Linked DNA regions of Rattus norvegicus. The protein of the gene in region 4 interacts with the protein of the main gene of each other region in a pairwise test. Links are inferred from orthologs where the notes say so. Each region holds a gene or a part of one and is shown on either strand. Other genes may lie near its edges.

Evidence for each region.
Region 1: the proteins of Ccdc57 (region 4) and Sirpa interact in a two-hybrid assay, tested with the Homo sapiens proteins (2 studies listed by BioGRID). The two-hybrid records come from large-scale screens. The link is inferred for Rattus norvegicus from reciprocal best matches to the Homo sapiens genes CCDC57 and SIRPA.
Region 2: the proteins of Ccdc57 (region 4) and Tmem100 interact in binary tests that used the Homo sapiens proteins (3 or more experiments, as listed by UniProt). The two-hybrid records come from large-scale screens. The link is inferred for Rattus norvegicus from reciprocal best matches to the Homo sapiens genes CCDC57 and TMEM100.
Region 3: the proteins of Ccdc57 (region 4) and Prpf31 interact in binary tests that used the Homo sapiens proteins (3 or more experiments, as listed by UniProt). The two-hybrid records come from large-scale screens. The link is inferred for Rattus norvegicus from reciprocal best matches to the Homo sapiens genes CCDC57 and PRPF31.
Region 5: the proteins of Ccdc57 (region 4) and Sfi1 interact in a two-hybrid assay, tested with the Homo sapiens proteins (2 studies listed by BioGRID). The two-hybrid records come from large-scale screens. The link is inferred for Rattus norvegicus from reciprocal best matches to the Homo sapiens genes CCDC57 and SFI1.
Region 6: the proteins of Ccdc57 (region 4) and Tsga10ip interact in binary tests that used the Homo sapiens proteins (3 or more experiments, as listed by UniProt). The two-hybrid records come from large-scale screens. The link is inferred for Rattus norvegicus from reciprocal best matches to the Homo sapiens genes CCDC57 and TSGA10IP.
Region 7: the proteins of Ccdc57 (region 4) and Pram1 interact in binary tests that used the Homo sapiens proteins (3 or more experiments, as listed by UniProt). The two-hybrid records come from large-scale screens. The link is inferred for Rattus norvegicus from reciprocal best matches to the Homo sapiens genes CCDC57 and PRAM1.

Annotation. Positions count from the first base shown.
Region 1 is NC_086021.1:137,308,054-137,311,553, reverse strand, and holds the end of Sirpa (tyrosine-protein phosphatase non-receptor type substrate 1 precursor), read right to left. Parts: intron 2,626-3,500; coding exon 2,368-2,625; 3' UTR 275-2,367; downstream 1-274. UniProt on the Homo sapiens protein: Immunoglobulin-like cell surface receptor for CD47. Acts as docking protein and induces translocation of PTPN6, PTPN11 and other binding partners from the cytosol to the plasma membrane.
Region 2 is NC_086028.1:75,350,506-75,354,690, reverse strand, and holds the start of Tmem100 (transmembrane protein 100), read right to left. Parts: upstream 2,801-4,185; 5' UTR 2,784-2,800; exon of another isoform or gene 2,772-2,783; intron 2,745-2,771; exon of another isoform or gene 2,381-2,744; intron 31-2,380; exon of another isoform or gene 1-30. UniProt on the Homo sapiens protein: Plays a role during embryonic arterial endothelium differentiation and vascular morphogenesis through the ACVRL1 receptor-dependent signaling pathway upon stimulation by bone morphogenetic proteins, such as GDF2/BMP9 and BMP10.
Region 3 is NC_086019.1:74,496,423-74,499,922, forward strand, and holds part of Prpf31 (U4/U6 small nuclear ribonucleoprotein Prp31), read right to left. Parts: intron 3,126-3,500; coding exon 3,028-3,125; intron 2,353-3,027; coding exon 2,246-2,352; intron 1,985-2,245; coding exon 1,815-1,984; intron 453-1,814; coding exon 295-452; intron 1-294. UniProt on the Homo sapiens protein: Involved in pre-mRNA splicing as component of the spliceosome. Required for the assembly of the U4/U5/U6 tri-snRNP complex, one of the building blocks of the spliceosome.
Region 4 is NC_086028.1:106,670,727-106,674,226, forward strand, and holds part of Ccdc57 (coiled-coil domain-containing protein 57), read right to left. Parts: intron 1,683-3,500; coding exon 1,581-1,682; intron 1,081-1,580; coding exon 923-1,080; intron 787-922; coding exon 712-786; intron 1-711. UniProt on the Homo sapiens protein: Pleiotropic regulator of centriole duplication, mitosis, and ciliogenesis. Critical interface between centrosome and microtubule-mediated cellular processes. Centriole duplication protein required for recruitment of CEP63, CEP152, and PLK4 to the centrosome.
Region 5 is NC_086032.1:82,262,712-82,266,211, forward strand, and holds part of Sfi1 (protein SFI1 homolog), read right to left. Parts: intron 2,229-3,500; coding exon 2,058-2,228; intron 1,189-2,057; coding exon 1,117-1,188; intron 1-1,116. UniProt on the Homo sapiens protein: Plays a role in the dynamic structure of centrosome-associated contractile fibers via its interaction with CETN2.
Region 6 is NC_086019.1:212,129,421-212,131,701, forward strand, and holds the end of Tsga10ip (testis-specific protein 10-interacting protein), read right to left. Parts: exon of another isoform or gene 1,923-2,281; intron 1,471-1,922; coding exon 1,371-1,470; intron 1,183-1,370; coding exon 1,064-1,182; intron 637-1,063; coding exon 528-636; 3' UTR 501-527; downstream 1-500.
Region 7 is NC_086025.1:15,124,343-15,128,612, forward strand, and holds the start of Pram1 (PML-RARA-regulated adapter molecule 1), read left to right. Parts: upstream 1-1,470; 5' UTR 1,471-4,270. Other genes in the region: Zfp414 (zinc finger protein 414), read left to right, coding at 113-590. UniProt on the Homo sapiens protein: May be involved in myeloid differentiation. May be involved in integrin signaling in neutrophils. Binds to PtdIns(4)P.

The DNA.
Region 1 (3,500 bases), on a different chromosome or scaffold from region 4:
AGGTAGCCAGTGCTGGGTGAATTGTCTAGATCCCCACGACACTGAGGCAGTGGAGAGAGTCTGTGTCTGAATTTTCAGCACGACCGATGCAGCCATGACTCCCTCTGAGCCAAGGGAACAGAACCTCCGCCTCTGTAAAAACTAGAGAGGACCAAGTGATACAGAACTTTCTGAAGCCCTGGCACACTCCCTCCTCACCCCCAGCCCCAGAGGACAGGCAACTGGCAGACTCCAAGGACAAAGCTTCAGAGACAAAATGAAACACCCCAAGGCATCATTGTTACCCAGAAATCTTTATTACAAAAATATTTTGCAAGCCAAAAATTTTAAGTTGCAACTATGTACAAAATGGGGCCTTTCTCCTTCTCATCTGGTCTACAGATAAAACTGAAATCCCACTCCTCACAGGGCGCTTTCGTACCAGGGTTCCATACATAGGCTTGGGGATCCCCCCAGGCTGCCTGACTAAAGCTAGAGCTACGTATCTTCCCTGCCTCTTTCCTTTCTCCCTCCAAAAAAACTTAAGACAAAATTAGGATGTCAGCGAGGACATCCTTTTAACTCACCTATACACCCGTGTGTGTGTGTGTGTGTGTGTGTGTGTGTGTGTGTGTGCGCGCGCGCATGTGTGTGTGTACACACGTGATGTCTCTTGGCAGAGGGGAAGAGGATGGATCTTTACCTACCAACCCTTTGGAATTAGAAGACAGCCCAAGACCATGGCTGGGCCAAAGACAAGTTACGGTTTGCTAGGCCAGTGAGGTCAACTCTGACTATTGGGTCAGCTAACTCCTGGATGCCTTTATGGGAAGTATCAGGTCACCAGCCCTATAGAGATGAGTCCTGGCTGTTTTCCTGACATCCCTGTCACACCTACAGAAACAGGCAGGTTGAATCAGCTTCTTACTTGAAGAGCCGGAACCAGGAATCCCCCGGCATGGGGGGACATTAGCGCCTCAACTTACTGAGCTGCATGTTAAGACCAGATAGCTAGGGTTGCAACATCTGCTTGCCATTGGGCCCAGCCAGGCCCCGACATCCAGTTTGAAGGGTGGGGGTCAGAGCCTCTGCCCAGACTCTGGGACAGTGGGGTGGTTTGCCCTGGCTCACAGCTGTGTTGTCACAGGTATGATCAGGTTCTGTTCCAGTATGATCCTGCTGAGGTCTGATGGTAATAACAGACTCCTTGCACTGATTACCTCAGAGCGCTGGAATACCGGGTGCTGGCCGAGCGTCCCTTCTCTCCGTATGCCTCTGCAGTGCTTGTGAGTTTGTCACTGACCTTCTCTCCTCAATGAGGAATGGCCAACGTCAGCACTGGATTAGACAAGGCTGCACTTACCACAGTAGCCATGGAGGCCAAGGGCCAGCTGTGGGGACAGAGCCTGGCTCATCCCAGTGACGCTGAGTGCTGAAAATGACAACAGAGGGATCCTTCTTGGTCCTCAGGGTGCTGGGAATTGGAAAAAAAATCTGTTTCTGCTATAAGAAAATCCTTCCGGGACAATAAACTGTTAGACCTCAGACTTCACAAGACCCAACCATTCAACACATGACAAAGAGCCAAGATGCTGCTGCTGTTGTTTTAAGGGGGAAAAGAAAAAAAGAAGAAAGAAAAAGGAAGAAAAAAAAAGAAAAGAAAAGAAACCCAACAACAACTAAACAGCACAAATCAAATTTTCTAACACCTTAGCTTCAAGACTGCACAGTTCACATTTCTCAATAATTTACAGGCGTCCACAGAGCAATGCTGTTGAGTTAGTGCTAGCTGGAGGAAGCGAGCTGGGACTGGAAGGGTGGGGCCACACTGAACATGCCCAGGGAGTCTCTGCTGGTCTAGGGGAAGAGGGTTCCTTCTCCTCAGGGCTCGTCAGCCTGGGAGGTGGGGAGGCTAGCACTGTTGGCTGAAAACTTGTTGACTCCTGGTGTAGTTCTTCCACACATGGGGCGGTCTGATCTAAAGGGAGTCTGGCCCCGAAGCTCAAGTTGGATGGAGATGGTGAACTCTTCTCCACACAGAAGACCAGGCGCTGGAGCATCAAGGAAGCAACCTGGGGGTTGCCAAGACCAGGATCCAGACCCAGTGTGATGGGCTGAGGCACAACGCTTCTTGGATTCTAGGCAGCTTTCTCCAGTTCCCCCTCTGGTTCTGCAACACCCAGCTCCAGAAGAAGGGGACATGGGTGTCCAAGAGGTGTTGGAGAGCCACGGAGGGAAGACAGAAGCCACCCTTACCCCTGGTCCTAGGACCTGTGCCACCTGGCCTTCTGGAGACAGGGCTGGCTGGCTGGTTGTCCTCATCATGGCCACTCCATGTAGGACAAGAAAACTTGTGGGGATGGGGCCTAGAGCCAACCACAGCCCCATTCACTTCCTCTGGACTTGGACACTGGCATACTCTGAGAAGGATGGCTCAGGCTTGGGGGTTGGCTGTGCCCGGTTGAGGTGGACCATGTCCAGGTCAGCATAGGTGAGGGTATCCTCTGGCCTAGGCAGTTTGCCTGTCTCAATGCTTGCATATTCTGTGTGGTTGTTGGGCTCGGGGACCCGGGGGGCGGGCTTCTTCTCTTTGGGCAGATTCAGGTCTGCGTATGTGATGTCGTTGATGTCATTTGTGTCCTGGATCTAAAAGACACAGAGAGAAAGTCATTCTGGAGCCCAGCCTGTTGACTCATCAACTGGCTAAAAAAAATCTGCATGCTTCTTTCCCAGAGGGCTCAGCCTTCATCCAGGCCCCTTCTCCTGCCAATGGTGTCCCATTTCCAGCCTTTTCCCTTCCAATCCACCTTCCTCCGCACAGAGCCCAAAGGGTCTTCTGAACACTATGGTGGTGGTCCCTTTCCAGTCCCAGTTTGCTTCCTCCAGCTTCATGTTACCTCCTTCTTTCTGGGTGGACCCACCTATAGCTATCCTCTCCCCCTTCCCATGTCTTTTCCTTGGCCTGGATCACCCACTCTCACCTCCCTCTCCCATGTAAGAGACCCCAGTGCACCAAGTACAACTCTGATCTAGCATTGCTCTACCCTCCCTCTGGCTGGGCCCAGAGCTCCTCTGAGCCCTTCAGTTCACATCTCCCTAGCATAGCATCTACCACCAAAGACTATGTCTGCTTTACAACCTTAGTAAATGCGATCTCCCAGGAGATAGGGAACACTCCTTCATTTACACATTTATTTTTCTAAATTGGGCACTTGCTATATTGCAGACAAGGCTAGCACAGAGGCCCAGTTCATGGTGACGGGATTAATGGATAGAAAGACAGATAGGTGGAAGGATGAGTGGACAGACGGCTAGACAGAGAGATGAATGGAATCACAGTCAGAAATCATTTCACGGAGGCTTGACGACAATTCTGCACAGGAAGAATGACTGACCCTGTTTTACAGGTTAAAAAATGTGACCTAGAGAGCAGATATAAACTCAATGATTGGTCTAAGTCACTCAACTGAGCAAAAGAAACGAAGCCTGTTGGAACCGAACACGGTGGGCTTCCCATACTG
Region 2 (4,185 bases), about 31 Mb from region 4:
CCTCCCCTCTCAATTGACTCCCTCTTCCTCTAGCATGCCTCTCCCTGTCTTTTTTCCTTTCTTTCTTCTTTCTTTCTTTTTCTTTTCACTGCCAGCAGATTCAGAGTTTTGGCTTGCTCCAGCTCTGTTCAGGGACATGGTAATTCCGGATCATCACTTCACAGTCCCCAGAGAGAGGAGCCAGCGTCGGCTTTTCTTCCCACCATTTACTAAGCAGGCTGCTCTGAATTACTCGGTGTTTCTAGATCTTCCTCTGGCTTGCCCATCAGGCATATTCATAAGAGAATCCCAGAGTCAGCACTGCAGACCTAGCTGACTGACAGAACCGGGGAACAGAAGCTCCTCAGAGACAGGAACAGCTGTGGAGTTCTCAAGCTGCTGAGCCCAGCCTCTAGGTCAGCAAAGAACCAGAGCCTCAGACTCTGACAGTTTTCCACTCATGTATGTGTGAGCCGGCCCCTCCCCTCATGTTCCTTCATTTACAGAAGAGGAGGACGGGAAATACTACATTCCTGGTTATGCTGGGAAGTCCTGGTTAACTTGATTTAAGCAGGACTGCTTACTGCTTAAGGTGCTGGGGGATGAATGGCTTTGGCAAACCTGGAATCACCACCACCGTCACCAGCAACACTGCCTCTCTGGACAAAGCCCCTACTATGGGTGTGGTATGACATTAAAGACTGACACATGTTAGTATTAATTCTCATTCATTTGTAAGTGAAGTTATGGGGACATGCAGAGGTAAATGAATATGACTTAAGTTCACAAAGAAACTCTTGCTTCAGACCCCAGTCACATTTTTCCCCATACTGGAGATGGATCCCAGGGTCTCGTATGTACTAAGTAAGTACTTTATCATTCTGCTATATTCCCAGTCCACTCTCTGCCTTGACCCATGAATCCCTATGCCTCAGTTTCTTCAGTAGCTACAGTCACAGACTTCACCACCAGGCCCACTGGACCTCAGTCACGAAATGGTGCAAGCTCACCCACTGATTCTCACCCACTGAGCTTATTAAATGAAGAGTCTGAATAAGTAGCTTCGTGGTAAGCCCACCTATGCCAAGTCTGCTGTTTTTGGTTCCACTTTAACCAACAACACATCTTAAATAGTCCAACACACTCACACACACACACACACACACACACACACACACACACACACACACGGCACAGTATTCTTTCGAAGAATAAACTCAAGGCATCATCGATGACCCGACAGGCTCATGCTTTCTTAGAGTAAAGCCACTTGAAACTGTAAGTATTTAAAAAGCGTAAAGCCTGGGGTGGAAAATGTCGGTGGCAAAATAAGGGCACTGTGATGAGCTTGTCCCTGTGTCTAAAGGCTATCCCATGATTCCTTTCCTCTGTGCAAGTCTTACTAAATCCCGCTATAGTTCACTCATTCGAGTCAATGACAGAATAGCATTGTCTTTCCGTCTGAGGGATGCTAGCTTTCTTTAGCCACTGGCTTACCTCCTGGACCTCTCACCCTCCCAGCTCAGCCCTCCCCAAGGTGACGCAGAGAGACCAGGAGTCCTTTTCCTCCTATGTGAGCCAGAGCAAGTGTTCCTTCGTTCCAGTTGATCACACCGAGAAATCCCCGAGACCTGTCTGAGTTAGAGGTCCAACATGCTGGGTATAGGAGGAGGCCACTTGCAGGCCACTTGGAAACCCAGAATGCCATCATCCTCACGGCTTCCAACGTGAGTCTTAGAGAAATGGAGTCTCACATATAGCTAGTGACATCACTGGAGGTGAGTCTGGGCATCTTTGGAACCATGGCATTTCAGAAGAGGGTGACCTGGGGTCTAGGCTACATCAAGAAGAAGCCCTCAAAGAGAACGTCTTCCCACTTGAGAACTCTCGCCTTTGGGGCAAGTCCTTCCTAATTCCTACTGAAGGCCATTTTCTGCAAATCAAACAAATCTCCAATAGCAACCAGGAAGCTCTGAACATCACCTTATCCTACCGAAGACCATTTTCCCCTTGCTTCCTAAGCCAAAGGTAAGGAAATGAACCTACAGAGGGGAGAGAGGCATCCTTGCCCACAGCGAACCACCCCACCCCACCCCAGGGGCTGAAGCAGTAAGGAGAGACAGTGAACAGAATTGTGTCCCCAGGGTGGAAGGCCACAGGTTTGTTGCTACTCCTAACACTGACGATTCAGCCTTCTCCTGGTTTCAGGTGTGGTGTCCCATGCCACTGTCCCAGCACAATGTGAAGGCATCTGCCTAGGTATGAAGATGCCAGTCTCCAAAATCAGACGACTCCTGGTTGGAACCGGTAAATTTAAAGAAATGGAAAACTCAGGGATTAATCAGAAAGCATGCCAGAAGAGGTAGAAGAAGCATCAAGGACACAAGCATCTTTAACCAACCTTATCTCTTAAGAAAAAAAGAAATAAAAAGGAATTTCACAGCAACGCATGCAAAATGCCTTTGAATGTCCAGTCTTCCGCCCAGACAGTGCCTATCTGGTATAAAGCTCCCTGGGGAATCGCTTACTGGACACCTGGCCCCACGTGCAAATTTTCATCACAATGCATCCAGTCTTTTTTTTTTTTTTTTTTTTTTTTTTCTGCAAGCTCTCTGTGCAGAAGAAGGAGGAAATCTCCCTGGTTCTTTTTAGAGTGCAGGGCTTGTGAAGGCTCAAGTTTGGAAAACTTTTCTGAAGGCTTCCGAGTGCATGAATGGTAACAGTCCTCCCAGGGCGAACCCCGCCGGCAAGCATTCGACAAGTCTCTCCCAGATCTTTCAAAGAGCAAGGAAACCGAACCTTACCTTTCTCAGCCAGAAGCGGACTGAGACAGCTGCGAGCGCCGGCCAACAGCAAGGCCGAGAGTGGGATGCAAATCAGCACGCTAGGGACCGTACACAAAGTACTCAGCAAGACTTACAGACCATTAAGGGACCGGAGACAATTTGGTGAGAGGAAATTCCTTACATGCTGTTGTATTTTACTCTTTTTTTTTCCGTGCTCACACCATCCACTGTAATTACAGGAGTGAATCCCTAGTAATCCAATTATTTAAAAGGTCATTCAGAATCTCTCCTGCTTTGTTTTCTTAGTTTTAAATTCTTAGGCAAGCATTCTTTTTTAAGGTTTTTCTCTAACCTCTTTTTGATATCACTCCTTTGTAATGTGAAGCTGCAGAAAAGAACTCCTCTTTGGTCTTCTACATTACCGGTGGAGGGGGAGTGTGGGTAGGGGTGGCGGAGGGATGTGCATGGGTTTGGAAGGGGGAGTGGGATCCCCTGCAGATATGTCATCAGGACATTCAAGTGATAAAAGAAAAATCGATGGATAATAAGAGATAAGGTTGGGTGGCCTGTCATCATGAAGTCATGTAAACTGGTTCTCCAATGATTTGGAAGGGGGAGTGGGATCCCCTGCAGATATGTCATCAGGACATTCAAGTGATAAAAGAAAAATCGATGGATAATAAAAGATAAGGTTGGGTGGCCTGTCATCATGAAGTCATGTAAACTGGTTCTCCAATGGTCCTCATATGAGGATGCCAGATGGCATGGGGTTGCTAACACACTGCACCGTCACATCTCGGAAGAACTGAGGCCACCAAGAAACTCACAAATAACACCGTGAGGGAGAAAATTCCTCTTTACTTAAAAAACATCTCCTCTTCCTTAGCAATAAGGTACAGTTGCTTAGAGGGACCGCAGTGGACCGAAGGAAGGAGATGTCCAATACCAGGACAAAGAGGTCACTGGTGCAGTTCCCATCTGTAGGAGCCAAAGGCTGGGATGTTTCCACACTGCCTCTGCTGGCATTTTCTCTTTTGGGAAACACACTTGCGCTTTGCATTTGGGGAAGAATTGCCCTCACGTGTGTTTGATTATTCTCCCTCCCTCCCACTTTCGTTCTGCTTTTGCTTGGTGTGGTTGAGCTGGCTAGTTTCCAGCATCTAGGAAGATGCCGGTCCCTCAGGCTCCTCTCTGTCCAATCACCACATGAAGATCGCCGTCATCACCCAGCCCAGTTGAGTTCAGTGAAATTCGGGAAGCTGGCCAGCTTTTCTTCTAGCTATTTTTTTTAAAAGGGTGTGTCTACAGTTCTACTCTGAAATCAGGGGCATTTTGGAAAGCGATCTGTGCTTTTTGGATAGCATGTCTCACTTGCTATTCCCCCTCCCAAACACGTCCCGGGCATTTTTCTTTAAGTAGA
Region 3 (3,500 bases), on a different chromosome or scaffold from region 4:
AAAGGTAACAGCCACTACAATAATCACTTCTCATCTAGGGCCAGCCATACCCCAGACTCTGGGAGGTAGGCCTTATGCCTGTGCGCTTTCCTAATAACTGCCTCTTGAGGGGTATGCTCTAGCTGCCCCTGGTTTCCAGCCACCCAACCATCCTCATTGCCAAGTGGCAGACCCAGAATAGTATCCTTGCTCTTCCAACCATGTTGCCTCATCCTCCAGGAGCCTGAGGGCTATTGCCAGCCAAGCCAGATAAGGCCTAGTGGCTGGGGCTAGGGGTCAAGGTGAAGTACTCACTGGGGGCAGAGACTGCACAATGTCACTGTGGTAGATGTAGCCAGTGTGAGGCAGCACTGAGGTAGAAGAGAAGCCAGACAGTGTCTTGCGCTGGGCTCCCAACAGCATGATGTTGCAGGCAGGCATCTTAGACAGGTTGGTCAGCCCTCCAGCCACACCTGCAAAAAGAGGTGAGGTCAGAACACAGGGTTTACATCCAGGAACTCATGTATACCTTTGTGGATTAAGTAAGAATGTCCCTCATAGGCTCATACAGTCACCACAAAGTAAAACTCATTGATAGATTAGAAGGTTCAGAAGGCATGGCCTTGTTGAAACAAGTGTGTCACTGGGGGTGGGCTTTGAGGTTTCAAAAGTCCACGCCAGGTCCAATGTCTCTCTCTCTCTGCTTGTGGTTCATCTATATCTCCAGCACTATGCCTGCCTGCTGCTGTGCTCCCTGCCATGATAATAACGGCTTAAGATTCTAAAAGTGTAAGTAAGCCCCCAGCTGTGTCTTCACAGCAAGAGAACAGTGACTAAGACAACTTTGCACCTTCATTTGTTGGCTGGTTTGATATCAAGTATTTCACTCAGTAGCCAAGGCTGGCCTCAAATTCAAAGCAACCCTCCTGCCTCAGCCTTCCAAATAACAGTTACTAGTATAAGTCACTGTATCCAGCAGGACATGGGATCTTTTCTGGTGGGGAGGGGGATTTTATTTTTATTATTTTATATGTATAAGTAGGGTGTGTGCATGGAGATCAGAAACTTATGGGACTTAGCTCTCCCCTCTTGTATGTGGGTTTGGGGGAATCACCACACTCAGGTTCTCAGGTTGTCAAGCCTGGGCAGCAAATTCTTTTACCAGCTGAGTCATCTTTCTAGCTCAGGACACAGAATCTTTAAGGAAATGACTAAGGTAAAATGAGGTCATATGGATCCTGACTCTATCTGACTGGCATTCTTGTAAGAAAAGGAGATAAGGATACAGATACAAGTGGTGTGGCTACACAGCCAAGCAGAGGCCTCTGGAGAAGTCTCACAGCAACTTGGTCTCAGACTTGCCAGCTCTGAAACAGTAGCCTCAGGAGTATATGCATCTTGGCCTGTGGGACTCAAGCCTGAAGCTCAGTGAGCAAAGATGGTAAGTTTTCCCATATTCCCTTTGCAAGCATCTCTCTGCAAGGAAGGAAAGGACTCTGCTACAGGAGCTTCCAGGAGAAAGAGCATAGCACATGGCAGGGTTTGCTGCCCTATCCAGTAGGAAAGCTTGAGCTGACATCAGTACTCTGTGGCTGCTCCAGGGTCTAAAATGGGCCTATTGGCAGGAAGAAGTTGGCTTGCCATCTGTGCAACCTGATTCAGCCAGCCAGCTAAACCTAGAAGGGAGTTGCTATGCTTCTATCGTGTGTACATACCAAGCTGGCTGATCTCAGTCTTCAGGGGACAATACAATCGCGCTAAGGCCAAACCCCACTTCCCCAAGGCAACCTAACCTATCAGCAGCCTCAGCCAAAGGGACCTAGCTGGGACCTCACCCATGATCTTGGCAGCCGTGGAAGCTCCAATGATGATGGACAAGTTGGGTGCAATGAACGACATCCGGGACTCCACGTACTCATAGATGCGGTGCTTGGAGGCATTCAGCTCCAGTGCCATGTCACAGGCCTCCTCTAGTCGCTCTAGTTCCTCATCTGACAGCTGCTGCCTGCATTGTGGGGCAGGTAAGGGTTGGGAACAGACCCCAGTTTTGCTAGGTACAGTTCTAACTAGTGTTCAGTCCCACCCACCCTCTCAGCTGTGTATGCAAGTGTGTTTGTGTAGCTCTAGGACTATCTAAAATTCCATCCGCCTAGGGGTCATAATTCTCAGTCAGCACCACCTTGACCATGACCCCCATTCTGCCTCTCTCTCTTTTGTTAATTGTCCTATTGTAGGCTTGCTGCACCTTACCATATGGCATACATACCCCTGGGTGGTAGAGGCAGTAACACTAACAACCATGATGGTAGCATTGGTCAGGATCTGCTGGAGATTCTCATTGTTCTTACACTTATCCAGGCTGTTGCCCAGTTCCTGGGGTAGGAAGGGGAAAAAGAAATTCTAGGAACACTAACACAGGTCTCCCCTTGAGGAAGTTGGAAAAGCTAAGGTCCATATACTGGAGACTTCTCGTGCCTTTTACAGTTTTACAACATCCCTGCCTAAAGCATCAGTGCTGCCTACTCTGCTCTGCTGATGCAGAAGTAGAACCTAGGCAGAGCAGCCTCCAAGGAAGACATGTGCACTAAAGAGGCCTTCAAAAGTGCACTTTCTTCCACAGACAAGACTTCTTCTGCCACCATCCTGATCTCTTGGGCAGAGACAGGACCCCTGCTCTTTCACCTCCACCTGCTCCCATCACTTCTAGAGAAGCCAACACCTTCTACGTCTAATGTTCTCTGACCTTTCTAAGCTTCCCTCCCTGCCCCTTCTGACTTCATCCTTACTTGTTCCCACTCAGGGTCTTAGCTCTTATTCAGCTGTGGCCTCTGCCAGATCAAAGGACTCCTGCTCCAACTGCAGCTAGAAGTAAGGGCCAGGTCAGTGGTTATCCTCCCACAAAACCAAGGGGAGGAGGGAAGCAAGGGATGTGTATGACACATCCATTCCAGTATCTGTCTCTCACCACTGAGCCCCGTTATTTCTAGACTTGAGGCTTCCTGGTCTAGTGGCCTCAGTTCTTCCCAAGCCAGACTCCTCTCCACTCACCTTGACTGTGCGGATGTAATCCAGAGCGTTGGGCACCAAGGATTCTAGCTCAGGGAATCTCTTTGAGTATTTATCCCGGATGAACTTATGGATAATGTCTAAATGGGACATGGAGGGTAGGTGTCCACTGAGGGGGAGGCAGACTCTGCTGCTATCCCCAACACCCACTTCCACCACTTTAGTAACCAACCCCAAATCATGTGTGGGGACATGGATGCCAGCATGAAATATATATTTCCTAGCTGTCCCCAATGCTATGTGGAGGGGGAAGTTTGTTCTACAAAGGTCTACAAAATATGAACCAAAGTGACATTTTTCAACTTCCAGATCATGGCCATAAGGAAACAACCATGCCCTATCTTCCCTCCACATTTTCTGGTAAGGATATGGAGGTGAGCGATCATCCTAGAGCATGAACAGGTGCAGAGCCTGGCTGCTGAAGGGGGTCAAAGGATGATTCGACTTGCTTTCCT
Region 4 (3,500 bases):
GAACAACGCTTTAATTGCATTGCTGAAGTTCCGCCTTGAGCCAACATACTATTTATTTCCTGGGTGTTGTGCCTGTTCCTGTTGGCTGGGTCCCAACCCACACTGAGTACAGGGTATATCAACAGGAAAAAGAGAACTCAAGAGAGTCTGCATCTGAGAGTAAGGGGTGTGGCCAACCAGGTGACTGTGTCAGCATGGCAAAGCTTGGGGCTAATAGTCTACAACTTATAAACTAGTGAGTAGAACATTCAAGTTTTAAATGTTAATGCTAAATTTTAAAATATGTATTTATCTAGTGTGGGGTGTGTGTATGGAGCCAGTTCTCTCCTTTTACCACGTGGGTTCCAGGGATGGAACTCAGGTCACCCACCATGTTGACAAGTGATTTTATCCACAGAGCCATCTCATTTACCCATAAAAGTTAAAATTTAACTAAGGTTATATTTTAAAGCCTGTTTTAGACACTGTAGACTAAATCCAGAGTTTTAGACATTTTTAGTTTGTGTTTTATCAATGAACTGGACTGGAGTCTTGGCCCTTCAAACATTTTAAGCTTTGAGACACTGGATGCCTAACCCTTTCTAAGGAAGTAGAGCATGGAGTTAACCAAAGTGGTATCCCAGCTCAGGCTACCCCGTCACAGGGCTCTTGTCTCCAGAGAGTATGATCCAGACTCTTTTCCAGAGGCACTACCCAGGCAGAAATACGCACTTCCTCCTGAAAGTCTCCTCAGCTTTCTTCTTGGCCAGCTGTACAGAGTGAAGCTTCTTCTCCAAGTCCTTTATCCTAAACAGAAACTGTGTCAGTAAAGAAGAGCAGTTACATAAGAGACCAAAGAATAGAACTGGAAGAAGCCAGGAAGGCAGCGCCACCAGGGTCTAGTCCTTATGGCCACAATGCCTTGAGAGCAGAACCCACGCACCGAGCATCCTTCATGGCCTCCAGATCCTGTAGCTCCCGGGCATGATCCTGTAGCTTCCTCTCTAATTCAATGTGCTCTGATTCTGCCTTCTGCAGACTCTCTGTTGCCTGTGCTCCAGCTTCTTTTAAAGCCTGAAGCTCTTTGTTTAGCAGCTTTACCTGAGGGAGATTGAAAAGTTCCAGGAGAGTAAATGGGTAAAAGGAACAGTATGGCTTCTAGCTGAGCTGGTTAGGACTCAGTGGCAGAGCACTTGTCTAGCATGCACAAGGTCTCGAGTTCAACCCCCAGTACCGGATACCAGATATGTGCAAAATAAAGAGAGAAAAGCATCTCCCAATATTAAACAAACAAACAAACAAACAAACAAAAAGGAACAGTGCAAAACCTGGTGTGGTCCCAGCACTTGGCAGAGGCAGGCAGATCTCTGAGTTCGAGGCAGATCTCTGAGTTCGAGGCCAGCCTGGTCTACAGATCTAGCTCCAGGATAGACAGGACTACACAGAGAAACCCTGTCTCAAAAAAAAAAAAAACAAAAAAAAAAAAAACCTAACTAACTAACTAAAGAACAGCATGGTGTTCTGTAGTACAGGGTAATTAAAGCTGGCAACAGTGAACTTGAAAACTGGAAACACTTCAAAAACCCTGCCCAGCCAGTTACCTTGAGCTCGTGGGTCAAGACAGTGTTGCTCAAGTCATCAGCTCTCAGTTGGAACTCATGCTCCCTTCTCTGAGCTTCAGATTCAAATTCTTGCAGCAGTTCCTGGAATAAGAGTCAAGAGAGGAGAGCAGCCGCTGCAAACATCTCAGCTCAGGTGTGAGACCACTGCTCATAATGAATTACAACATCTGTACACACAAAGTTTTCTGTTCTACATACAAAACTGTTTAACTATATTTTCCTATAACATTCTTCAAGATCTATGTATCTATATCAATATATACCGTCAATCTAAGCACTAAGGAGGCAGATGCAGGCGGATCTCTGAGTTCAAGGCCAGCCTGATTTACAGAGTAAGTTCCAGGACAGCCAGGGCTACACAGAGAAATCCTGTCTTGAAAAACAAACAAAACAAACCAACCAACCAAAGAAACAACAACAAAAATTCTCAGGCAAAATGGGGTCATAAATGAAACCACTTTAAGAAGCCTCTCTCTGGGGGTTGGGGATTTAGCTCAGCGGTAGAGCGCTTGCCTAGCAAACGCAAGGCCCTGGGTTCGGTCCCCAGCTCCGAAAAAAAGAAAAAGAAAAAGAAAAAGAAAAAAAAAGAAGCCTCTCTCTGAGGAATGGCTGGTATAATTCTTGCAGTTCAGTTAGCATTGCTGTCAGGATAGCATACATTCCCTTCTACACACTTCCTTTTCATTTCTGACATGATGAGGCCCTCTATGGGGTCACTGGCTGATAAAAGTGTTTGGATTCTCCAGCTACCAGTGAACCAAAAAGCCTAATTTCTTTATTACTGGGGTCAGGTACCTTTGTCTCATTTTTGATCAGCATAGAGCAAGAGCCCCTGGGGAAGACTGAGTGCTCAGGGACTCATGGGAGCCCCTCTAGTCCTGGGCCCGGCCCTGTGCTGCCCACCACCAGACTCCAGCCCTGAAGGACAGGCTGAGGGAGCACAGATGTAGCTCTGAGGGAGTTGCCCCCACCCCTACCAGACAAACAGGTGCACTGTGTGAGCACTGCAGCAGCAGGTCTCACTTTCTGACTCAGGAAACTGCAAAAGGCACAACTAGAAGTTATGTTTCCCCTTTCAGTCCCTTGAGAGGTAAATGTGAAATATGTAGTCACACGACTGACCCTTACTGGAATCAGAATATTAAAGTCATTATTATAATTATAAAATCATGGCAAAATGCTTGCCTGTCATGTGTGGTACCCTGGGTTCTATTCCAAGCATAGAAACGAAGGAAGGAAGGAAGGAAAGAAGGGAGGGAGGGAGAGAGGGGGGGAGGAAGGGAGGGAGGGAGGGAGGGGAAAAGAAAGGAGGGTGGTGAGTTGGTGGAACTACCTGTAAACGGAGAAAGAACCTGGTAGGCAAAGATAGAGAAGATCCCCTCAAGTTCTAGGCAGCCTTGGCTACATGTTAGGAATCTGCCTCAAAAGACTCAAAACCAAACAACCAAATAACCAAACAACAACAACAAACACACAGAATCTTGAAACATTGTTTTTTTTTTGTTTTTTTTTTTGTTTTTTTTGTTTTGTTTTGTTTTGGTTTGGTTTTTTCTGAACAAAATCCACAGAGTAAGTTCTGCAGGTTGTGGCCACCAGAGAGCAGAGTTCTATACAACATCAAGCCTGTGCTGCCACCTTCTGGTCCTGTCTCTACTGTGCTTTTGTTGTCAAGGTTCTGGGGACCTGCATCGGGATTTAGTGACAGCTCCAGGTTCCTGTCTAGAGGTCTTGGATAAACCAGGGGACCTCACACAACAATCCGTCACTGTGTTTCCTTGTGCGTGTTCTTTGTCTCAACAAGTGGCAGCCAGCCTCTGTGCTCAAACCAACCAGAAGCATTTATGACACCCACCTCTCCCGTCAGACCCATCAGGGCTCAGGGTCAGGGTTAGGGTTAGA
Region 5 (3,500 bases), on a different chromosome or scaffold from region 4:
ATGAACAAATAAAAAAACAAAAACTTCATTTTGGACTTACTAAGTGTGGTACCCAATGGAAGTGTCATATTTGTGAAGCAAGTGTTGGGGCTATAGGTTTGGGCTAAGGATATGCACTGGGAGTCACCAAAGGACCACAGTTAGGAGGTACACAGTCAGCAGTGCAAAGCTGTCGGGTAGTTCAATGAAGAAAAACCAAGGAGGAGGCATTAGAAGGAGCAAAGAGACAGGAGAGAAACCACCAGACAAGAGTGACCCAGAAGCTGGGAAAGAAAGGGTGCCTGGAGGCACAAACGATGGCACTACAGTTTTGATAAATGCCCCACAAACACTGGTCACTGAGGATGGTCTGACTTTTAGAGGTGGCAGGACATACATGGAGTCACACCTGTGACTCCCTCTTGCACCCTCCTCTCTGCTGTAGCTAAAACTAATGCAACCAAAAGATACAGCAGAGGGTAGTGGCTGTCTTTACACATCCTAACACGTATGTTGATGTGTATCCTAACACGTATGTTGATGTGTACGGTATGATGAGGAATAGCCTGCAGCACAGGGATTTGCTCTGCACTGAAACTCCTTCCAATATCAATGATTCCACAAGGTTCCGACCTCTACAAAGGCTACGTGTCAGGCTCAGCAGTCCCGTGTGAGCACCCATGCTTCTCCTGGGTGGGTTCCTTCTTTTCCAGAGGTCGTGGGGCTTTGGTTTCCTTCAGATCCCCATTAAGATAAGGAATATGCATGAAATTCTCATTCCAGCATAAGGGTATATGAGGGCTGATATTTTAACTAAAAGAAGGCATCAGATCCCATTACAGATGGTTGTGAGCCACCATGTGGTTGCTGGCATTTGAACTTATGTCCTCTGGAATAGCAGTCAATACTCTTTTTTTTTTTTTTTTTTGGTTCTTTTTTTCGGAGCTGGGGACTGAACCCAGGGCCTTGCGCTTCCTAGGTAAGCGCTCTACCACTGAGCTAAATCCCCAGCCCCCAGTCAATACTCTTAACCACTGACTCATCTCTCCAGCCCAAAACTGTTTAAATAAAACAAAACAAAAAAAGAACAAAAGCAGAGGACGCTCGGCAGCAGCACAGCATCTAAGCTAGCAGTACCTGGCTCTGGAAGGAGTCACTCTTCCAAAGGTCACTCGCATCCACAAATATAGGAACTTTCTGGCCACACACCTGAAAAGAAAGGACACACAATTCTAAACTCTACCTTGTCAACATAAGCTTTCTGGAAAAGAAAGGGAACCTTTAAGGTGTCGAGCGAAGGAACCATCGTCTGAATGAAAAGATGATGCCATAGTTAATCTTGCATTAAACAGAAAATGGAGAGGACAGGTTTATAAAACTAAAATCAAGCTGGGCAGTGGTGATGGACCCTTTTAGTCCCAGCACTCAGGAGGCAGAGGAAGGCTGATCTATGAATTCAAGGTCAGCATGGTCTACAGAGGTTCCAGGACAGCCAGGGCTACACAGAGAAACCCTATCTTGAAAAGCAAAACAGGGGTTGGGGATTTAGCTCAGTGGTAGAGCGCTTGCCTAGCAAGTGCAAGGCCCTGGGTTCGGTCCGCAGCTCTGAGAAAAATGAAAGAAAAAAAAAAAGAAAAGCAAAACAAAACAAAATTAAAATAAAATCATGCAGATTTTTTAAAGCACTTTCTTTTTGAGTTCAAGGTTTTGCTTCACATGCATCTCTCTGCTGCACTCCACAGAAAACAATCTCTGCCTCCTGAGTGCTGGGATTAAAGACCTGTGCCATCTCACCTGACTCTGGGTCATGTTTGCTTTGGTTTGTTTTGTTTTTTTTTTTTTTAAAGATTTATTCATTTATTATATGTAAGTACACTGAAGCTGTCTTCAGATACACCAGAAGAGGGCATCGGATCTCATTACAGATGGTTGTGAGCCACCATGTGGTTGCTGGGAATTGAACTCAGGACCTCTGGAAGAGCAGTCAGTGCTCTTAATCACTAAGCCATCTCTCCAGCCCACACATTATCTTTTTAATCCCATTTTGGCTTGAAGGGAAAACAAATGAAAAGTCTCACCTGACACGCAGTTCTCGTAATCTCTGTGGAGTCCAACTTTGTGAGGATTGATAGTACGAGGAGTGGCAGCTTCTAGTTAACTCCCTCTGGATCCCAGAGAAGGCAGAAGACTTTTTGAGGGGCAGTGCCTTTGGAGAACAAGGTTTCTTAACCACGCCATCCCTAAAAGACCTTATTTGAGCAAGCAGAGAGGAAAGGAGAAAGTTTTTCCATACAATATAACTACATTGTAACATTGAACAAAGCTACACTGTTACACCCATGGAGAAACACTGAATATGCCCCAGACAGAAAGCAGCATGAGCAGCAGCAGCCAGCACTCCAGAGTCAGCTCTACGGTGGGAGGCAGAGAACTGCCAAGTGGGTCTTCAGGCCTAGTATGGTCTTCAGGCCTAGTATGGTCTTCAGGCCTAGTATGGTCTTCAGGCCTAGTATGTTCTTTTTGGTTTTAGAGACAGGGTTCTCTGTGCAACCCTGGTTGTCTGTCCTGGAACTCACTCTGCAGACCAGGCTGGCCTGGAACACACAGAGATCCACCTGCCTCTGCCTCCTGAGTACTAAGGTTAAAGGTGTGCACCACCACTACCAAGCAGGTCTAGTATGTTCTTTAGTTAGCTTTTATTCTATTGTAAAGGGGATCATTTACACAGTACAAATAAGTTCCTAAGTATAAACCCAGAAGACGTGGGTTACATTCCCAGCAGCCACATACATGGCAGCTCAAAACCTTTTGTAACTCAGGTTAGAGGATCTGAGATCGCTGCCCTCTAAAAGTCCCAGACATGCACTGGTACACACACACATATGCAGGTGAAACACCTGGACACATAAAAATAAAAATTTTAGCTGAGTGGTGGTGGCACACCTTTAACCTCCGAACTCAGGAGGCTGAGGCAGATCTCTAAGTTCAAGGCCAGCCTAGCCTACACAGTGAGTTCCAGGACAGCCAGGGCTATAAAGAGAAACTCTGTCTTGAAACCAAAATAAATAATAATAGTAATAATGTTTTTATATAAAAGTCTGAGGGAGGGGCTGGAGAGATGGCTCAGTGATTAAGAGCATTGACTGCTCTTCCAGAGGTCCTGAGTTCAATTCCCAGCAACCACATGGTGGCTCACAACCATCTGTAATGAGATCTGATGCCCTCTTCTGCTGTGTCTGAAGACAGCTACATAAAATAAATAATTTTTTTAAAGATACATTTATTTTATTTATATAAATACAGGAGCCCTTTATAGATGGTTATGAGCCACCATATGATTGCTGGGAATTGAACTCAGGACCTCTGGAAGAACACTCACTTGTGTTTTTTGGGTTTTTTTTGGTTTTTTGTTTTTTCGGAGCTGGGGACTGAACCCAGGGCCTTGCGGGCTAGGCAAGCGCTCTACCACTGAGCTAAATCCCCAACCCCTTCACTCGTGCTCTTAACCCCTGAACCATCTC
Region 6 (2,281 bases), on a different chromosome or scaffold from region 4:
TCTTTTTTTTTCCTTTCAGACTGGCCCATTAACTATGTAGCCCAGGCTGGGATTACAGGCATAAGCCACAATGCTTTTCCAGCCTTTTTTAGGGTTTCTGTTTGATTGCTTGTTTGGTTTGGGTCTTAAGGAGAGGATGTTTTAGGGTAAGGGTTCAGACACTTCTGATAGTCGTTGCTACTCTGGGCTTCCTGTGTAGCATATCTCTGGTGTGTTTTGGTGTGGGGGATGGGCTCCTTTAAAGTTCCGCTCCAAGACTGTTCAGAAGCAATGTCCTGTTCTAAGATTTCTAGGTGTGTGTCTACCCCCCCCCCCCCCCCCCGTGTGTTGGAGAAAACATGGGAAAGTCTCGGCGGATTCCTTTCAGGTGTCCCACTCCTCAGAAGCAGAAACCGCATGTTTGCTGAGGATAAGGTGTAGCCTGGGTTTCCAGAGTATGGGGTAAACAGCTCAAACAACTCAGCCCACAGCCAGCTCGCCTCAGAAATCTTACTCTGTACTTGGCCATAAAGCATTTAATTTTTCTCTCAGTCCAGGGTTGGGGAAGGGTGTCTTCCAGGCTGGCTGCTGGTTGGCTCTGTCTTTGGGGGACTCTGAGGAGAGGACTCCATTTCTACTCCAAATGACCGGTAGCTCCTTAAAGACACAGATGGAGGCCAATGGTCTCCACAGCACCCTATTCCATGCCCAGTGCAAACTTCTACCCTGTGGGTCTAAATCTAAGTCCTATGCTTGGTTGCTGTGTGACACTGGAGAGGGACACCCCGTCCTGCAGTCTCAGTGGTTTGGGGGTTGGTTGGTTGTTTTACTGTGAAGTGAATCTTACAGTCCCTGCTCTGTACCAGATTACTTACCCTAAGGGGTAAGGGACACCCTGAAAGGTGACAGAACGACACCAGCTGCTGGCGCAAGGGTGATTGCTCAGAGTCCAGGACTAGCTTTACTGCTTACTCCTGTGTCAAGTAAGGTCCTACTCTGGTCTCATTGGAAGGTGGGGACAGTAGCCCTGGCTCACCTTCCTGAGTGACATGGAGAACTGGAAGGGTACCTTGTCCCATCTCACCTGTGTTTCCGGGGGATGCCCTCTGCATTGCCTGCCTCAGCCAGCAGCTGTTCCTCATCCACTCCCAATGCTGACAGCACCTGGGAGAAGCGCCGGTTTGCTGTGAGCCTGGCATTGGTCTGATGGGAGAAAAAAAGGGTTCCTACCCTTCACCAAGGCTGCCGGGGTCACTGTGGGGCTCAGATTATTAAGAAGGGGTCCCAGGCCTTCTGGGGGGACAGATAGGACCCCACTCCACCTTTGTTTCGATACACACTTGTGGAAGCAGCTCTTTGGTGGTGGTGGTGGGCCTGTATTGTGCCCTCACCTGCATGGCCTGCTGGAACAGGAAGGGCCGGGCCTGCACTCTATGCTGGATGCCCTGGAGCTCTGCTTGGTACTCGGCAAAACGCTGTCGCTCCTTGCGCCTGTGAAGGAGACAAGACAGGCCTCTGGGCAGCCGAACATAGACACTCCCCAGGCTGGAGCCTCCTGGTCTTCCTTGAAGCTTATTAACTTAAAAGTTTCCCCTGACACTTACAAAGCCAGTATATTCCCAGTCCAGCTCTGTATTTCTTGGGTGGGATTACCAGGGTGGGGGTTATTTGCCCCATTTTACCGCTGGCCCAAAAAGGTGGTGGGGACTTTCCCTAGGTTGCAGGATTGAGCCACCTGTCCCAGGTTAGGCTGTGCATCCAGGGCTTGCCCACCTTCTGACCACAGCCAAAGGAGGGAGCCTGTCCTCCTGCCTTTTGACCTCCTGCTTCCACAGCCTCTCCATTTGTAAACCTCCCTTATCTCCGGCTACTGCCCTTTGAGGATGCTATGGAGCGTGTGGCCTGCAGAGCCTTAGCTCTGAGTCCAGTTTTCTTCACTACAGCAGGCGTTGGACAGCGCTCCCAGGTACCCTATGCCTTCTCTGTGTGTGGAGACAGACAGCTTAGAAGACAACAGAGGAACCAACGAAGACTATTGCAAAAAAAAAGAACATCTCCCAAAGCTGGGTCTGGTGGCTAACATTTGAGAAGCTGAGGCAGGAAGATTGCCTAAACTCAAAGACAACCTGGGCTACAGAGTAAATTATAGGCCAGTCTGGATTGCAGAATGAGACTATAGGAAACAGACAAACAAAGATGTGGGCTGCACTGGAGAAAGATTTCCTGTTTATGGAAATCAGTTTGAGGATGTTTAGACGGCTCAGCAGGTAAAGGTGCTTGCCACACTCAAGGCTAGCAGGCA
Region 7 (4,270 bases), on a different chromosome or scaffold from region 4:
GTACCACAGAGGTTCTAATGTAGATACCCTTCCCACATCCTGGTCCCTGGGTAGCAATGGATAGGCCCTTCCTGTTGCCCAGGAGACAGTCAAGTACTGTGCCTGCCTCCAGGTGTGAGAATTGCCTCCTGCGCTTCCGCACTCATCGCTCGCTCTTCAAGCATCTGCATGTTTGTATAGACCATGGTCAGAACCCAGCCCCGCCACCACCCCCTGCCCTGGACAAAGAGCCACCTGTACCTGAGCGTCCCCCAGAGTCCGACCCTTCGTCCTCCCTGGGCCTGCCATTCCCACTACTTGAGCCTTTCACCTCTGCCCCCACTGGGCCCTTCCTTCCTTACTTGAACCCTGCACCCTTTGGCCTGAGTCCCCCGAGACTGCGCCCATTCCTGGCTGCCACTCCAGGGCCACCGACATCCAGCACTGCCATCTGGAAGAAGAGTCAAGGTGAGTATAGGAGCAGGTTGCCTACAAAGCTGATTGAGCCTACTTTTATTCTGAACTTGAACTGCTTCTTTCCTACAGGTGCTACCAGTAGTCCTAGAAGACCTCAGGGCGGCTCCGATGCGCCCTCAGGTGCGTGCAGGTGACCACCAGGGACGGGTGGAGGGGCCCTTCATTCCTGTGCCCTAAGTGGGCCCTGTGAATGCTGGAAAGCAGCGGTGACTGTCCCTTAAAATACATGATTTTTGCCTTTCAAATGACTGGTATCTATGCCTTCATCTGGTATCTGTGCCAGTGTTCCTGTGTAAACATTTGTGTCTTGTTCTGTCTCTGAGTGGTTTTCTTCTATGGTGGGTCCAGGGATGGGAGGCAAATGTGGTACCTGCTGTGATGGGTAGTCAAGCCCAGGGAAAAGTCTAATCTGTCCTGGTTGACATCTACCATCCATGGTTGAAAGGCTCTCTGGAGGGAGACCCAGGACTCAGAGGCCTGCCTGCCTGCCTGCCTGCCTGCCTGCCTGCCTGCCTGCCTGCCTGTCTGCCTGCCTGCAGGGTACATGGCCCCCAGCCACATTGTGTGCGAACACATAGATGGCTGATATTCGTGTATACAGTGTGACTTCTTCACAGTCTCTCAGTCTGCCATTATACTGCACCTGCAGGACCACCACCCTGGCTACCCCACAGCCTGAAACCTGGGTTCCTTGGTTCCAACACCCAGTTGGGTAAGGCTGAGGAATGTTCAGGCACAGGACTAGAGGCAAGGGATGAGGCACAGGCTCAGGTGACCCCTCCTCAACTCTACACAAGACCCAACCCTGTTTGCTATTGAGGTGTCACAGTGGTCAGAGGGGGAGAATCCAGTTTTATCACAGCTTTGAACCAGCTCTGCTGGGCTAAGTTGTAGGGGATACAGAGATTTTTGTAATTTGAGGAAGAAGGGGACAATAAAGGAGGCACGTTGAGCCAGTGTGTGCTGTGTCTTGGGTCCCTTGCCCCTCAGATTTTTTTTTTAATGTCTTTATTTTATTTTATTTTATTTTTTTGGTTCTTTTTTTCGGAGCTGGGGACCGAACCCAGGGCCTTGTGCTTCCTAGGCAAGCGCTCTACCACTGAGCTAAATCCCCAACCCCAAAAAGTTGTATTTATTTATTCTATATAAGTACACTGTAGCTGTCTTCAGACACACCAGAAGAGGGGAAGAGGGCATCAGATCCCATTACAGATGGTTGTGAGCCACCATGTGGTTGCTGGGAATTGAACTCAAGACCTCTGGAAGAGCAGTCAGTGCTCTTAACCGCTGAGCCATCTCTCCAGCCCATGTCTTTATTTTTTTAAGAGAGAGTGCAAGTGATATGTGTACAGAAGTGTAATGCTTGTGAAGGCCAAAAGAGGGTATAGGATCCCTAAGCATTTGTGAGCTGCCAGCGTGGGTGCTGGGAACCACACTTGCATCTTCTGTAAGAGCAATATGAGAGTGAACTTTCTGTTAGTGTCACAGTTAATCTTTTTTTTTTTTCATTTATTTCAGAGTTAACGCTTATCTGCTGAGCCCTCTTCTACAGCCCCCCCCCCCCCCCAAATAAGCACTAGGCTGCTACCTATGGGACTAGGGTGCTCACACACCTTGGGAGGGGGACTTAAAATTGGCTTCACAGAATCTGACTCTCATCAGAACTCCTATTTTCCTGGCATCTCAGCTGTGGAATCCAGATCTGCAGCTCACTGCCCACCCTAGGAGTAGTCAGTGCCCACTGTTCTGTTCTACAACTTCCAGAACCAGATAGGTTTGTTATTTTCCCAGATGGTTTTCCTTTATTAAAAACCCAGGCATAGTGACACATGCCTTTAATCCCAGCACTTGGGAGGCAGAGGTAAGTGGATCTGAGTTCATAGGCAGCCTGTTCTACAGAGCTAGTTCTAGGACAGTCAGGGCTACACAGAGAAACCCTGTCTTGAAAAATAACAAAAAAGAAATATGGGGGTTGGGGATTTAGCTCAGTGGTAGAGCACTTGCCTAGCAAGCGCAAGGCCCTGGGTTCAGTCCCCAGCTCCGGAAAAAAAAAAAAAAAAGAAATATGGCTTACCATGCTCAAGTGCTTGCCCATGCAACCCTGATGGCCTGTTTGAGTGGGGTAGAAAAAAAAGAAAATCAAGTAGCCAAAATTGTCCTTTCATATATTAAGCCCTGAGCTTAAAGCATGGTGGCACACATCTTTAATCCCAGCACTTGGCAGGCAGAGTCAGGCAGATCTCTGTAAATTCAAGGCCTGATCTAAGTGACAAGGTCCAGGCAGGACACATAGTGAACAATGTCTCAAAAAAATGAGGGGGAAAAAAGCCCCATGGTATGGTAGCACATGGCACATCCAAGCTCTTGGAAAACAGAGAAGGATCATTCTTTTTAAGTTCATACCAACTTAGACTACAAAGCAACACTGTCTCAAGAAATTTTGTTTTTAAGTATCAAGAATTAGGAAGGCAATGTGGAAATCTAGGTCTGAGTAAACCCTGCTCCTGAGGCCAGTGGGTTCACAGAGATGAAAGCCTTGGGTAGCTATAGTTGAGTTGGGTAGGTCAAGATGGAGAACTGAACTTTATCAGCATCTTCCTTGCAATCAGCAGACCTTCTGTTGCTGCTGGCATCTACCCCAACCTGTATTCTGGAGAGTTCGGGGTCCATTTGAAAATGCACTATGGATGGGGATGTAGCTCAGTATAGTACTTGCCTAGCATGCACAAAGCCTTGGGTTCTTTCTATCAACACCACATAACTAGGCTTGCTAATAAGTGCTTAAGTTCCAGAACTAGGAGGAGGTGGGTGTTAGCACTCTCTAAGTTCCACCCCTACAGTTAACCTGGCAACAGCCAGGCATGCCTGACACTATGAAAAGGGCTGCTTGCCCCTTCCTCTCTTCCTCATGCTCTCTTGTTCTTACCCCTCCCCCTTCTCTCCACGTGCTCATGGCCGTCCTCTACTCTTCCTCTACTCTTCTATTTCTCTACTTCTCTCTCTGCCCTACTACCCTCTTAATTTCCCTCCCCATGCTGGCTGGTCCCTCAGAGGGAAGGGATGTCTCAGCATGGGCCTGCTGAGGCACCCCCTTCCCCCAGACCCCCCCTAGAACATAATCCCCACCCTCTCCTTTATCTTTTATAAAACACATTGGTAGGGCTGGAGAGATGGCTTAGAGGTTAAGAGCACTGTCTGCTCTTCCAGAGGTCCTGAGTTCAATTCCCAGCAACCACATGGTGGCTCACAACCACCTATAATCAGGTCTGGTGCCCTCTTCTGGCCTGTAGTTGCATACATGCAGGCAGAAAGCTGTATGATGTATACATTAAAAAAAAAAAAAAAAAAAAAAAAAAAAAAAAAAAAACATTGGTGCTGAAACCCAGGACATATCCTTATCTTTTAATAAACACATCAGTGGGAGTGTGGACTCTGGAGGATTGGGGGTTCAAGGTCATCCTGGCTAGATATGGTATATGTCTATACCCACCACTAATCCCCCTGTCATATATATCCACAAAGAAAACATGGTGCCTTACTTCTGTTCCAGTCCAAAGCCAGGCTGGCCATGCCTCTTGGAAATAGAAGTCCAGTGTGTTGTTCTTCCATTACTTAGAGGTTGGTTCTAACCTCTGTCTAGCTAGGGTAATCCCCTCCTATCCCAAAGAGCCTTTCACTAGTGCTCCTTAGTATCCCTCATAAGTCTCTGGATAAAGACTCCTTGGGCTGGAGAGATGGTGTAGTAGGTACAAACAGGATCTGAGTTTAGATTCCCAGTACCTATTTTAACACGATACGGTAGTACATGTCTGTA